2 linked regions of the Diceros bicornis minor genome follow. The protein of the gene in region 1 interacts with the protein of each later gene in a pairwise test. Links are inferred from orthologs where the notes say so. Each region holds a gene or a part of one and is shown on either strand. Other genes may lie near its edges.

Evidence for each region. The genes of interacting proteins can lie anywhere in the genome.
Region 2: the proteins of HMG20A (region 1) and HPCAL1 interact in binary tests that used the Homo sapiens proteins (3 or more experiments, as listed by UniProt). The two-hybrid records come from large-scale screens. The link is inferred for Diceros bicornis minor from reciprocal best matches to the Homo sapiens genes HMG20A and HPCAL1.

What each region holds. Positions count from the first base shown.
Region 1 is NC_080744.1:68,859,903-68,867,507, reverse strand, and holds the start of HMG20A (high mobility group protein 20A), read left to right. Parts: upstream 1-4,591; 5' UTR 4,592-4,856; intron 4,857-7,605. UniProt on the Homo sapiens protein: Plays a role in neuronal differentiation as chromatin-associated protein. Acts as inhibitor of HMG20B. Overcomes the repressive effects of the neuronal silencer REST and induces the activation of neuronal-specific genes.
Region 2 is NC_080751.1:69,874,486-69,881,610, reverse strand, and holds the start of HPCAL1 (hippocalcin-like protein 1), read left to right. Parts: upstream 1-4,106; 5' UTR 4,107-4,377; intron 4,378-7,125. UniProt on the Homo sapiens protein: May be involved in the calcium-dependent regulation of rhodopsin phosphorylation.

The DNA.
Region 1 (7,605 bases):
GCTACCTGCTCTAGCTGAAGTTACAAAAGACATCTTAATCACCAAGTCTTAGACTTCCTTCAGTCCTTATCTTACTTGGCCTTTCATCCAGGATACAGTGTTGACCACTCCTAGTCCTTGAAATAGTCTCCTCCCTCGGCTTCCGTGACAAATCTCTCATAGTTTCCTTTTTTCATCTTTGGTCTGTCTGGCACAGATGGTTGGTTGGCTTCTCTTCAGTTGCCTGCTCACTCAGGAGCTCACAACAGAAATGTGGGACTAATCCTAAATCTTCAATCTTGCTCAACTCCATGATCTGATTACTTACCCTGTTGATAAAACTTCCTAAATCTCTCATACATCCACCCCTCTTCTACATCCCTCATCATTTCTCAACTGGAATGGCTTCTTAACTGGTCAGCTTCCAGTTTTGCCCTTCTCTAATCCAGCCTTCACTTCACTGCCAGCATGATAGATCTAAAACACAAACCTGATTCTATCACAGTATAATTTTTTTCCCCCACTAAACCCTCACAGCCTCAGGATAAAGTTAAAGCTCCTTAGCTTGGTTCATAAGGCATTCAGTGATCTGGCTTCTTACGACTTCATCAGCTCCTGTTTTAAAAATGTGCTGTCTACCTGTGGCTACTGAGTGCTTGACTGTGGTTAGTGCAAACTGAGATGTGTTGTAAGTGTAAAATACATACCAGATTCTGAAGACTTAGTATGAAAAACGGAACATCAAATATCTGAATAATACACGTTTTAATATTGATTACATGTTGAAATGATATCATTTTGTCTATATCAGGTAAAATAAATTATTAAAATTAATTTCACTTTTTACTTTTTTTAACGTGGTTACCAGAAAATTTTAAAATATATATGTGACAAATTTGTGGCTCATATTCTAATTTTATAGGACAGCACTGTCTAAAATGTCCTTTCCCTCTCTCCGAACCTAGTTAACTCCTATGTATTTTTGAAGGTTAGCTCAGATAACCCACTAAGATGCATTTCAGGACACTTCCCCACCCCAAGACCTCAAGTCTTAGTCAACTACCCCTCCTCTGTGCTTCCCATCCATAGGAATCTGCTTACACCTCTGTCTATATCACACCACATTGTAATTATTGATTATCAGCTATCTTCTCCTCCTAAACTGGACAATCCTTGCAAAAAGGACTATCATTCTACATACACTCAGGGCCTACCACCATGCCTACCACTTAAAAGGCAATCAAAAAATTTGTCAAACAAAGATGAATTACCTATTCCTGGCCTGAAAGTTATTTAGAATTTCTAGTTCTCCAGGAAAAACAAACCAGCAGTGAGGGAGCCTAGACTTTTCCAGGAGCTCTAGCAACAAAAGGACTAGGGTGCTGGAGTGGGAATTAGAGAGAACAGCAATGAGGAAATAAAGCTCATGACACACACTTGCCTCTTACAGTGAAAAATAGGGATTTGCAGCAGTGATATGGAGCCTTGAACTCACACTTGGCATGCCAGGGGCCACAGTCTGGTTCCTAAATTACTTAAACAACTCATCCAACAAAAGAGTATGATTTGGCAGGTTTCAACACAAACAGCTAGAGCCCAGCACCTGTTCCACTTAAACAGCACATCATTACAGTTAAAAACAACAACAAATCTCTCTCATGAAGCAAATGCTAATCTCATGATGCTTCACCATGGAGCAATTTAGAAGAGTTATTATATGAAATGTGCCAAAACAAGAATTTATGGCTGATGCTTATTTGGCAAATATGGTTGGCACTGCTAGATGTTGAAAAACATGTATGCAAATAGGCAAATAAAAGTTTTTAAGCTCTCAGACTTAAATATTTACATTACCATAAATTTACAAAGATAAATGTTTATATGAGTACACGTATAATGCATTCCAGGAACACATTTTTTAATGTGATTGTCAGGAACAGTTATGAAGTGGCATTATTTTTTTATGGGCCTCAGGATAGACTCCTAAAAATGAATTCTGACAGAATGTTAATGGGGTACGAACATGATTGAGGAAGTTTCTCTATATTAACACTGGGTAAAATGAATAGTCATAGTATCACAAGAGTTCAAAGCGATCTTATCTTTTCCTTTCGCCAAAATACTTTTCTTCCCATCCTGGAACCCAGCCAAACATAAATGTCAGCCCCTAAATGGGGGGTAAGGAGTAGAGAGGAGGACCACACATCAAAAAGTCTTAAAGAAAATAACGACATTTTTTCCCACATAATATACTCATGTTAGAGTCTCCAAAATAAAGACATGATAAAATATTTGCCCCTCTTCCTCTCCGACAGCGACGGAAAGATGTTTGTTTTTTCACATAGTTTGTGAGTTGGTCATAGCCAAAACTCACTAGCAATGGTATGAATTCTGCTTCCATTGTTAACTGTTAATCTCCAGGCTGAGACTGTAACTCCCATCTTTGAAGCCAAGAAAATGTACCATACCTGCCATTATATAGTTTACTAAACGAGTGACCCAAGAGAAGAAACGCCAGGCACTTCAGAAAGTAATTAAGGTACTCAGTGAATTGAGCTATCTAGAAATGCTCTGCGATTACAGGAGAAGCCATCATGAAGCAAGTATCCAAGATTGTTCAAAGAAAGTTTTACCCCTGAGGATAATTCATGTTTTTCACTTTCACACTTCGGAGAGCAATATGGGTTCTCCGACTACACACATTACTACATCACTTCATTTATCAGGAAAAAAAGACATTGTGGCTTAACAAAAATCAGTAGGTAGGCCCCAAAACAGCATCCTCAAGGCAATCCCAATTCAGGTGAAAAGCAGCTGACATACATCATCTAGTGACCTAAAAATAGCCTTTTATGTAAATCTCCAACTATTTAATTCAACGTATAATCTTACCACATTTAAGAGAGGCAGAAAAAAAAAGTATTAGGTTTTCTATAGCAAGGCCAATAAAGATGAAATCATAGTTTTCCTTTAACTCGTCACTATCCCCTCAACGCCAGCCTTCCAATAACTCCATTCCACAGCTCTCAAATTCCTAAACTTAGATCTTTAAAAAAAACAACGGATTGCAAGCAAGTAACATTTAAAGGTGGGAGGGCTCCTCTTTCCTGTTGCTCTCAGCAGTCTTTAACGCAGTCAAAGGACGAAAAATGAAATCAAGCTCTCAGACGGATGGTGCAAGGGACGCGGGGAGAGGGGGGTAGAGAAGGGGGTTCAGACGGCAAGTCCTCGTCGCGGGAGGTAAGAAAAGTTGCAAGAACAGATGAGGCAAAGGGCAAAGGAGAAACAAACCGACCAAACCAACCTCTCAAAATCCCCAAACCACCGAGCAAACCCGCACTTAGGGGGCTCACAAGCCGCAGCGCGAAGGGAGCAGGCAAAGAGCCACCGGGTTTCGTCCTGGCGCTGCTGGCGAGGCTGCGCCGGATCCTCCCGGGTTTGGACCCGGGTGTCCGTGTAGACTTAGCAGCGAGAGGCGCCCTTCCTGCACCAGCCTCCCCGCGTCCAGCTCCTCCAGGCTTCACTTTCCCCAAGCAGCCTCCCAGCCGCGCCCGGGGGCGTCCCTCGCCGCCAGGTCCCAACTTTCCCTCCTCTGGGGGGCGCCGAGCTACCGGGGCCGCCGCCGCCGCCGAGGGAGGGGGCGGGAGCCGGGGCGGCGGGGCGCGCGGCGCCGGCGGGACCGGGGGCGGCGGGCGCGGGGGTGGCCGGAGCCGGAGAGCACGCGCCGGGCCGGACGCACCGGCCATCCGAGTCCCCGCGGCGGCGCCACCCAGACCCCGCGCCGCCCCGCCCGGATTCCCCCGGGTCAGCGCCCTCACCCAGCGGCGACCCTGGTCCCACAAGCTGGCGCGAGAGAAGAGGGAACGCAGGGGACGCGGGCAGCCCTGCCCCGGTTACCTGAGGGGCGCACACGCCGCCGCGGGGACCACCATCACCGGCCGTCCCGTCCCCTTCCTGGTGACCGCGGCCGCCGCCGCCGAGCAACTGACACTAACAACAACTAACTAACTACTCGCCGCCGCCGAGTCCACCGCGCGCTCCCGGGCGCCCGCCGCCCGCCCAGCCCACCAGCCTGCCCGCCTCCTCCCAGCCCCGCGCGCCACCCCTCCGCGCGCGCACTCGCCGCCGCGATCCTTGAGGAGCGAGCACGCGCGCGCACACGGGTCCTCGGCCCTCCCCCTGGTCTCGCCTCAGCCGCGCAGGAGGTGTCACTGGGAGGCCCCTCCTCTCGCGTTCCTACCTCCAGAGAAAGAGATCCAGAGGGCGCCTGATTGGCTCAGGAGGGCGTGGCCAAAGGAAGAGGGCGGGACGACCAGGACCGCGGCGTGAAGGGAAATTTAGGTTCAATTAAGTTTCAGAAGAAAAGGGGAACGAAGTATTGGCCTATATAGTGCCGGAGCCCCCCAGGTCAGCCTGCCATCATATACAAAATATGTGTTTTCAAAGACTCTAGTATATATTAATCACCAATTTAAGTCCCAATACCTGCTTCAGGCCTTAGCAATTAAAAAAACTACATCTCCCAGAAACCTCTGCGAAAATAAGTCTCACCTTGCGTAATCACGTAGTCCGCCGCATTTGAACAAAATAATCCCTTCATTTTTCTGAAGGTATCGGGAGCAATACTTTATTTTTCTCTTCACTGGAACAACTTTAAATGTTACTGCGATAAGAGAAGTTGCCTATGGGAAGGTGGTTAAGCGGTTAGGTAAAGGGAAAGAAAGGACATCAAAATAAAGTACTGCGGAGGAATTTTTGTCATGCTGTGAGACGACGGAGGGAGAAGAGTGAAGGCGATTGAGAGGGGCTCAGGGAATTGTCCTGTGTGAGGGGCTTTCTTTAGGCCCCGGGCCCTTGCCTGTCCCTATCGTCAGCAGGTCAGTAAGCAAGGCGAGCTTGCGGGTGGCCACAGTGGAGGTGCCCTTCACCCCTTGAAGATCATCCCTCTTTTGCCGTTGTTATTGGTTTGTCTCGGTTTGAGGCCGACTGAATGGGGGCGCCTCACTTCCGTTTGGGGGAGGGGAGGAAGGTCCTCCTGGGGGAGGGGGAAACATAACTCACTTCCTGTGGGGGTAGGGTGATGGTTTGGGGGGTCCAAACCACTTCCTGTGCCGGCGGGGGCTTCATAAGGTGATGCTTGTTGCCGTTTGCATAGAAGGTATCTTAAAGCCTTGGGATTGTGTTTTATGTGAAAAGTTAGGTTATTCCACCAAGTTGTGATAATCACCAGCCTCCAGAATTTATGTGAGTTTTGTGTAAGATGGAAAATTTCCTCCTCAACAAAATTTTCTTAACGCATTCTTCAAAGAATTCAAAACCCGTTGTTAAAATTCTCCACTCAGGTCTGCAAGATAGACGTGCTTTCTTGTGTGACTCATGAATTGCCCACCCCTGCTCCCCTACTCATGTTCAACCTTGACCTGGTGAGATACAGTAGTGTTGTCTGCCTTGACATGCCACAGTAACTCTGCAGCTGCTCTTTTAAGGAGGTGGTTTATTACAGACTCAATATTTTACGTAAATTACGAGGCATTTTCACCTTACCAGAGTGAAAGTATCATACTGAGGTATTCAAACACTTGGTGTTACGTTAACTGATATGATTGTTATCTTAAATTCTTAGACCTTGATTGGTCTACAGGTTCAGGCTACAGGTTCAGCCCTGTGCCTGAAAACAACTCAGCCTTAAAAAATTTTACATGTAACTTACATGTAGCATTTGTGAAAGTTATACTTTAGTACATTTTCCCTCTTTGTAATTAAATTCAGCATCGATTGAAAAATGGTGTCTCTTTGTGGTTTTAAAGCATGGTGGCAGGATCAGGAGATTTAGCTCAGATTTTAAGTAGGGGAAAAAATTGGCTCACAAAGGACGAAAGATGAGTAAGAAAGAACTTTCTATATTTCCTATATTCTCAGTGTTTTATAAGAAACTACATGTAAAGTGGTAATAAACACTCAACTTTGATTCCTTGGCTTCTGTTTTCAAGTACCACAATACTTGGGTGTGTGTGTCTGTACTGAAGGAATCAGTCTATTTGGAGCTTACAAAATCTCAACAACTTTAGTAATTTTAGAATATCAAGTGAACTGAAATGTCTTTCAAGAATTCTAAAAGAATAGGGCCTGTATATTTTTTCCTTTGGGATTGTTACCTCATCTATCCTCAGAATTTGCAATTATTTTAATTCTAGTTCTTTTAAAAAGCTATTTGGTTTAGAGTTTATTGGAAACTGTTTTAAACCAAATGTTAGAGTAAGGGAAAAAATATATGTTTTAACCTTCTGTACACACACAAAAAAAAGATCTGAGACCCTAAAATCAATGAATTATCTTTTTAAAGACTACAAAATTTCTGCAGTAGCTGAAAAGGCAGAACAAAATAATGTCTGTTGTTATTATAAGGCTGGGGACATGTGGACTGCCTCAAGCAAGTATTAATTAATTGATTAGAGAGAAAATGTTCACTGTCTTCTATATTGATGTAATATAGAAGGAAATATGATATCATCCTGACAAATTAAACTGTTAAACTATAGTATTAGGAATTATTGCAGTAAGTAAAGATTGTGGAGCTAAATGGAAAAGATAGTTAAAATATTGATTAAGATGCAGTAGTGTCGCCTTTTGGAAACTGTCTTTGGAAAGCAAAGGAGTTTATTAAATTGGTTTTTATGCTATTCCATGCAAGAAATGCAGTATAATAGAAATAAGAAAAATTGCTGCAGCGGAAAGACTTGAGCAGCTTGAAGAACTGTCTCTTCAGAAGAAAGCAATATATAAGGCACATATCTGAAAGAAGATGTGTGATAAGTGGCAGTTATTCATTAGTTTCATCAAAGAAGAAATATTAGAAAAGCTTGTGAAAAATGAAGGGAAATCCATGGAACCTGCTTTTATTCTCTTTACAAGTGTTCCTGTAGAGAGGCTTGCTGTCTTCCAAAGACTTTTTTTCCCCTTAATGCTCTTTGCTGCAGTTTTCTTTGCATGTTATAATAGAAACATACTATCAAAATCAGAGAAATAAAGACTTTTTTGTAAGTGTACTCTTGTTACGTCTTTGAATTAATGAATTTGAGATTTTCATTCCATTATTTGCCTTCTATAATAAAGAATTTGTCCATTTTTTAGAGCATTTAGATTAGATAACCATTTTCTTTTCCAAAAGCAGTCATTGTATACACTGCTAACAACAGTTTGAAATATTAAAACAGTGGGTCAAAATTCTGGATTCCATCTCACTGAAATGTGATTAACCACAGAGTGCTAGATAGCATATATTATGCAAAGTGTCTTTTCATTCTTTTGTCTCCCTTTCTTTGTAAAATCATGCTACTGTTTTACAGCTATTGCCTTTTTGTTTGTTGTTTTGGTAGTTGGTGGTTTTTGCCATGAGGTTGAGTGTTAAAGAGAATATCCTAACAACTTGAATGGTTTTTCTTTTTTTTTTTGGCTGAGGAAGATTCTCCCTGAGCTAACATCCATTGCCAATCCTCCTCTTTTTTTGCTTTAGGAAGATTAGCCCTGAGCTATTATCTGTGCCAGTCTTCCTCTGTTTTGTATGTGGTACACCGCCACAGCATGGCTGGTGAGTGGAGTAGGTCTGCGCCTGGGATCGGAACTCAA
Region 2 (7,125 bases), on another chromosome or scaffold:
TCTACCAGAGGAGCATCACCCACTCTATTCCCGGCAGCCACACTTCTCCCCTCTGTAATTACAAATGAAACCAAGTGACAGAATCAAAAGAGGACCTGGAAATAAGTTGGCCTCCACTTCCCCAAATAGTCGGGACCGGGCTTTGAGCTAAAACCACATTTATTTTAAAGAACTTCCCTAGTGGGGTAAACATTCAAGTTCATCCAAGTACTACAAATGATTTTTTAAAATAATATTTTTTCCAAAGCCCGTGTGGGCCCAGCTCAGTGATATTGAGTCTGGCTTTCATACCTGGCTGTCACTGATTCTAATGTGTGACCTTGGACATTCCATTTCTCCAAGAGTAGATGTCCTCATCTGTAAAATGTGGGAATAATCTCAAGAATGTTGGAGACAGCATATGTAAAAGTGCCTTGAAAACAGTAACGTCATAAAACTAAGTCAGATATTATGAAGAATAATCAGAGTTATTTCTGTCCTTAAGTGTTCACAGTCATCATATGGAAGACAAATTGTATATACAGCATGACACCTGTCATTTGTTGAACTGTTCCCCGATAAAGATGTTGAAGTCCTAACTCCTGGTACCTGTGAATACGACCTTATTTGGAATTGGGTCTTTGCAGATTGTCAAGTTAAGATGAGGTTATGAGGGTGGACTCTAATCCAATATGACTGGTGTCCTTATAAAAAGGGGAAATTTGGACACAGAGACAGACGCACAGAGAGGGAAGATGATGTGAAGACACAAGGAGAAAATGGCCATCTACGAGCCAAGAAATCCCCAGGGCTACAGAAGCTAGGAGAGGGCCTGAAACAGTCTCCCTCACAGCCTTCAGAAGGAACACCCTGCTGACACTTTAATCTCTGACTTCCAGCCTCCAGAACTCTGAGACAATACATGTCTGTCGTTTAAGCCACTCAGTTTGTGGTACTCTGTTACAGCAGCCCCAGGAAAGTACAGGCAGTCCCCAACTTACCATGATTCTTTGACTTGACAATTTTTCAACTATGCAATGGTTTGAAAGTGATATTCACTCAGTAGAAATCGTACCTTGAATTTTTTTTTTAATAATTATTTATTTATTTTTTTCCCCCCAAAGCCCCAGTAGATAGTTGTATGTCATAGCTGTACATCCTTCCAGCTGCTGTACGTGGGATGCGGCCCCAGCATGGCCGGAGATGCGGTGCGTCAGCGCGCGCCCGGGATCCGAACCCCGGCCGCCAGCAGCGGAGCGCACGCACTTAACCGCTAAGCCACGGGGCCGGCCCTCGTACTTTGAATTTTGAATGTTGATCTTTTCCCAGGCTGGTGATATGCGGTGTGATCCTCTCTCATGATGCTGGGCAGCGGCAGTGAACTGCAGCTCCCAGTCAGCCCCGTGGTCACGAGGTTGAACAACCGATACACTTACGATGATTCTGCACCACACGACAATTCTGTTTTTCACTTTCAGTACAGTGTTCAATAAATTACATGAGATATTCAACACTTTATTATAAAATAGTCTTTGTGTTAGATGATTTTGCCCAACTGTGGGCTAAGGTTAAGTGTTCTGAGCATGTTTAAGGTCAGCCAGGCTAAGCTACGATGTTCAGCAGGTTAGATGTATTAAATGCATTTTCAACTTATGATATTTTCAACTTACGATATTTTCAATTTACAATGGATTTATGGGGATGTAACCTCGTCGTAAGTCGAGGAAGATCTGTAATATAACACCCTACATCCCGAATTTGCTTTCTTAGTTGCTTTAGTTTATTAAATCCAAAAGTACTTGCCGAATAACTCCTCACGCTCTCCCTCCACTAAGCTCCGCGAGGGGTATTGAAGGAGCAGTAGACACAAAGGGAAGAGACCAGGTTGTATCTCTCCTGAGGGAGACACGCACCTTCTTAGACGTTCAGAGAAGGGAGTACACGTGAGCCGAGAGGGTGGAGGGCTAGGGGGGAGCTGAACTGAGCTGGAGGAACAGGTAGGTTTCAGATCTACAGGGAGGAGGAGTCATGCTGGGTGAGGTCCACGTGAGAGGCGGGTCCACGAACTGCCTCAGTATTCTTTTTCGATTTCTTGAGCTTTCTCATCCTCTCCCCTGCCTCCCGCCTGTGTCCACCAATAGCTCAGGCCTTGACAACCATGATGAGGGTGCTTTGTGCGGACATCTGTGGCCCTGTGACTGAGCTTGGGAGAAGAGTGCTCTGATTCTGTGGGAGAGACCCTGCGATGCACTCACAAAAGCGACTGTTTCCTCCTGGGCACACAGGAAGACGTAATTCCCAGACCCCTTGCCTCCAGGTGGGACCTTGCCACTAATTCTGGGCAGTGAATGCAGGTGGATGTAATGTGTGCCTCTTCCAGGCCTGGCTCCTAAAGACCCGGGGACCCCAGGCTAGTGTTCTCTCCTCTCTTGTTGCTGGCTGGAAGTGGAGGGGCCAGTGGAGGCCTCGGAAGCACTGAAGGAGGGTAGGAGAATTTCTAGATGGAACAGGCTGGGGTTCCTGAATGCCTGTGTGACTCCTCCCCATGGCCTCCCATTTGCAGTGAACTGCATGCAACCCAAGTGAAAAGTGGGGTCGGATGTGTGACCATAGCAGAACATAACCTACCCCCACTAATCCAGTCTCTGCAGTCACCAGCTAATGCGCCTGGGCTGGGCATCTGACTGAGGGTTCCCTAGCTGTAACCCTACCCTCTGTGTGGATGTGCTGCAGGAAGCCTGCGCAATGACCTTGGCCACTGGTCTCTGCTGAGAAGGAAAGATGGCGCCCCTAGGTACCCAAGCTGGCTCTGTATGACATCACCACAGCCTGGTACTGCTGATGCTCACAGTCATTATTGCATTTAATCCTCACAGCAGGGCCACCAGGAGACTAACTCCCTCTGGGTTTGCTTTTGCCATTTGCCTGCAGAGGGAGGGGTCTGGGCTCAGATCACCTTGCCTGCCAGCCCCCAGCCAACTCCCCCCAGGGTCGTGCACTCCCATTTCTTCCCTAGCCTTCAGTGGAGTGGGAGTTCACTCACGGAGTTTTTGTGGAGGAGGATTTGAGCTTTCCCCTAGAGACGCTGGAAAGACAGTTTGTCTCAGCCTAACACTATCGCCCAGCTCCACATTTATGGCTGTTTCTGTGGTTACCTTTCTTTGGGGATGTTTAGGGTGGGTGGTGGTGGTAGTGGTGGGGGTGTGTATATATTGTGTATCTAGGGCCCAGATTTTCAGGAGCTGCCAAATCGAAGGGCCTGGGAAGCACAGTCCCTGATTCCTGCCCTCTGATGCAAGTGCCATCGCAGAGGGATGGAGGAAGTCCGCAGGGAGCACTTCTGCCTCTCCCTGAGACCCAGGCCACCTGACCCGGGACTGAGATGTCAACCAGCGAGTAGAGACTGAAGACCCACAGCACGTTAGGGAGGGAAGGGCCTGAAGAAGCCTGCTCCTCCTTCTGTCCATTTTAGAGGTGGGGAAACCGAGACCGAGGGAGTCTAAGGGACTTGTCCAAATGGCCTAGAGTTAGCAAAGGCAGCCAGAACTGGAACTCGGGTCTCCCTCCTCCCGACCCCGGGCTCCTTCCCTGAACCAGGGCGGGAAGGTTGTTGGTATCTGCTCACCGGACAGGGGGTGGGAGTGCCAGAGGGGCCAAGCAGGCGGCCCGGGGAGACTCTGGCCTCTTCCCCTTCTGGGCCACCCGGGCCGCACTTCCTGCAGAGGACAGGAGGCGGGGGAGCGGGACCCCGGGCACCGCCTCCGGGCCTCTCCCACACCCGCGGGCCAGAGGCCAAGGGTTAGGGAGGCGGAACCAGTGCTCGGCTCCGCTCTGCCCCGAAATCCGCGCGGGGCGGGATCGGGTCAGCGCTTCGACTGGGCCGAGACTGCATAAAGAGGAGCGAGGCGCCAGCGTGGAAAGGGCAGACGCCCGGCGCCAACAGGCCAGCAGGGGGCGTGGCCAGGGACGGAGGCTTGACCGCAGCGGCGCTCGGCGGGCGGGGCTAAGCCTGGGGGCGTGGTCGAGGCGGGGGCGGTCCGCAGGGGCCCCGAGTGCCCGCCCCGGCCGCGCGCCCCGCCCCCGGCCCCCGCCTCCGGGTCCCGCCCTCGCGTCCCTTCCTTCTCCCGGCTGGCAGGCGGGCCGCGGCGGCTGCGGGCGGCGGACGGACCGGCTCCTCCTCGTTGCTCCTTCCCTCGCTGCCGGCTTCCTTTTGTCTTTCTGGGGGGCGATGAGCGCAGGGCCGGCGTGGCGGCTGCGGACGCACGGAGGCCCGCGCTCCTAGCCACCCTTTCTGGCCTTGGCGCGCTCGTCCCGGGCAGCGGCCCGCGCCCGCCTCAGCGCCGGCGGCGCCGAACTTGAGCTCGGGAAGCCGGCGGACCGCGTCCTGCGCCGGAGCAGGTAGGGAAGGGGCGGGCTGCGGGGCTACAGGGAGTGCGGGCGTGTGCACTGGGGTGCGCTGCGATCAGGCTCTCTGCGTGTGTGTGTGTGTGTGTGTGCGCGCGCGCGCGCGCGCGTGTGTTGGGGGGTGCCTGTGTTTCTCTGCGCGGTGGAGTTGTGGGTGACCGAGGACGGTGGTGTGTCCCTGGAATGGCGCGTCCTCGTAGGCATCCGTGTGTGCAGTTGGGTGTGCACATTTTGGGCTGCGTTTGTGGAATTGGGTGTTGGGGCGCAGTTGCTGGTGGGGACCGGTGCGGGGCAGGTGTCGTGTGTGAGCGGCTGTGCGTGGGGCGCGGGCGGCGGGGTGGGCGTGGGCGGTCCAGTCCTACGCGCGGAGCCTCCGGTCCCCGCCGGCCAGCGCAGTGCGGAGCTCCAGAGCCCCGGGGGACAGCTGGGATCCGAGGGGGCTGGCGCGAGCTTCGGGAGCAGGGGGCCAGGTCCGCGAGGCCCACGTGGGTCGCCTGTGTGCCCTGGCCAGGGCAGGGGACCCGCGCGGCGGCCATCCACTCCCTCCTTCCCATGCCGAGGAGCGATGGACAGAGCCCAGCTCCGGAGTTAGGAGCCCTGGCATCGCCGTGACCCGCACTGCGACCTGGGGCAGACACACCATCTTCCCGGGTTGCAGTTTGCTTCTGTATCGAATGGGGACAGTTCCTCCCTCGCGGTCTGTCGTGACAGTTAAAATGAGAACGCACTCCAGATAGCTCTTGGCCAGTGCCTGGCACGTAGTAGTGCTACGTTAATTAATTAGCGTCTCTCTTTTTAAAAAATCTTTGTTTTCTTTATCGTGGGTGGTGATCTTATAATCCCCCCACTCCGCGCGTGGTTTGTGCCTTTCTCAGGGCCCTAACTTAACGGCTAAGCACCGAGATTCGAGAAAGTTTAGGCTGCCGGGTGAGCCGCTTCCTCGCCGCGCGTCCCCGGCGGCGCCGCCTCGGGTGTGTAGGAGCGCGCAGCGCCGGGCGCCGGCCATTCTCCAGCCGCGAAGGCTCCGGCGCCCGAGCGGGTCCCTCTCCTGGCCGAAGGCAGTGGCTGCGGGAGTCGGGATCCCTTTTGTTCAACAAGTGCGAGACCCCGGGGCGTGCAGCTCGAGGAATCCGGGAGCCAAGGTGTGAAAGTGGCGCTCGCCGCAGAGACGGATCTCGGGCTCCCAGGGCATCCCCCACCCCGGGCCTGGTCACGCTGAAGGCCACCCCTTTTCCTCTGGGCCAACACGGATTCCTCCTAGAGGAGGGTGTTTGTCAGGACGGCGAGACCTGCCTTGGCCATCGGCATTGGACACCCTCCAACTCTCCCCGCCCATCCCCCCCTTAGATCAGCCTTATGCAGGAGGCTGAGATCCGCGTGGGACCCTTTATTCTAGTCCCCCACCGTAATTTTTAAAATATTTAGTTTGAAACCTAGTACTCATAACATTGAACCGCAGTGAATGCACACAGCTCTAACCACGATTCATACTCAGGAGTCCTGCCAGCCACGCCGCAGTGCTTGCTCACACCCAGCTGGGCCAGCTGGCTTGGGCTGCCCTGCCGCCTCCTGCCAGAGCCAGTGATTCCTTCTCTCTGTGTCTGTGGTTTGTTCCTCTCAGGACCCTTTCCCGTCGGAAAAACAAATAACCTTTCACCAAGGGAGCAGCCAGCCTCATGGTGCAGGAGGATCTCAAAATGGAGCGCTGGCTGGGAATGGGCAGGGGCATGGGGACATGGGCAGGCTGCATGTGGGTATGAGACGCACTCCAAGTATCAGGTGCATCCGTTGCTGTTTTCAGGGAAACTGGAATCCTTTGCAGGCTTTTATGACACAGGAGTAGAAACCTCTGGCTTGGTCCTTCAGTGTGTCTTCTGCCAGGACCGGAGCCCTGAGATATCAGCGGTGATGGCAGGCGGGGGCAGCTGAAAAAGCTAATTTTTCATCCTGATTTGGTGTCAGGGGCACACTTAGAAGGCAACCTGTTTTTTCTGTTTCGTAAAATGATTTTGTGTCCTAGAGGAGAAAAGGGCTTTTGATCTGAATCCTACTCTCTTCCCCATAATCAGATTCGGTAATAGTATTAAAAAAGAAAATCAGTCTGGCTTTCTCAGCTCAGTAGACAGACCAAAAGCTAGTGGTTTTTTTTCCCCCTAGTTAAAACCGGCCCTTTGTCTCAAGCAAACCAATGTTTTGGCCCTAGATCTATTTCTGTTTCACTTTTGAAAGTGCCTGTAATTACTGAGCTCTTGAGGTTTTATTGAATAATGTGCCGGAGGGAAGGCCCAGGGCCCCTGCCTGTCCCTTGCAGGGGACGTGGGATGTGGTACCTCGTTCTAGCCTTGCCTGCTTCCTTTGAGTTCCACTGTTACGCTTTCTGTAAGGTGGAAAATAGATGTCAATGGGCAATAATAATTTGGGAGACTTGGCACTGGGTCTCAGATGCCCGGAAGGTCACTCGACTTGTGGAGAAACAAGACTAAGTCAAAACCCGGAAAGAACAGAGATTTGCCCAATCTCTAGCCAAGGATCCATTCATTTCCAACAAGCCCTCCTAGAGAGACACTCTGAGAGAAATAAAAGAGCTTGGACAAATTCCTTCAGAATTTATCCTAATGCCCCTTTCTGGCCACGGGGCTGTGCAGAATTAGAAATACAAGCTATTGAAGGACAAGGAGTGGACTCCCCTTGGCGCACACTCCCCAGCCGGGGCCTCGTACTCACCGAGCTCCATTTCTCCCT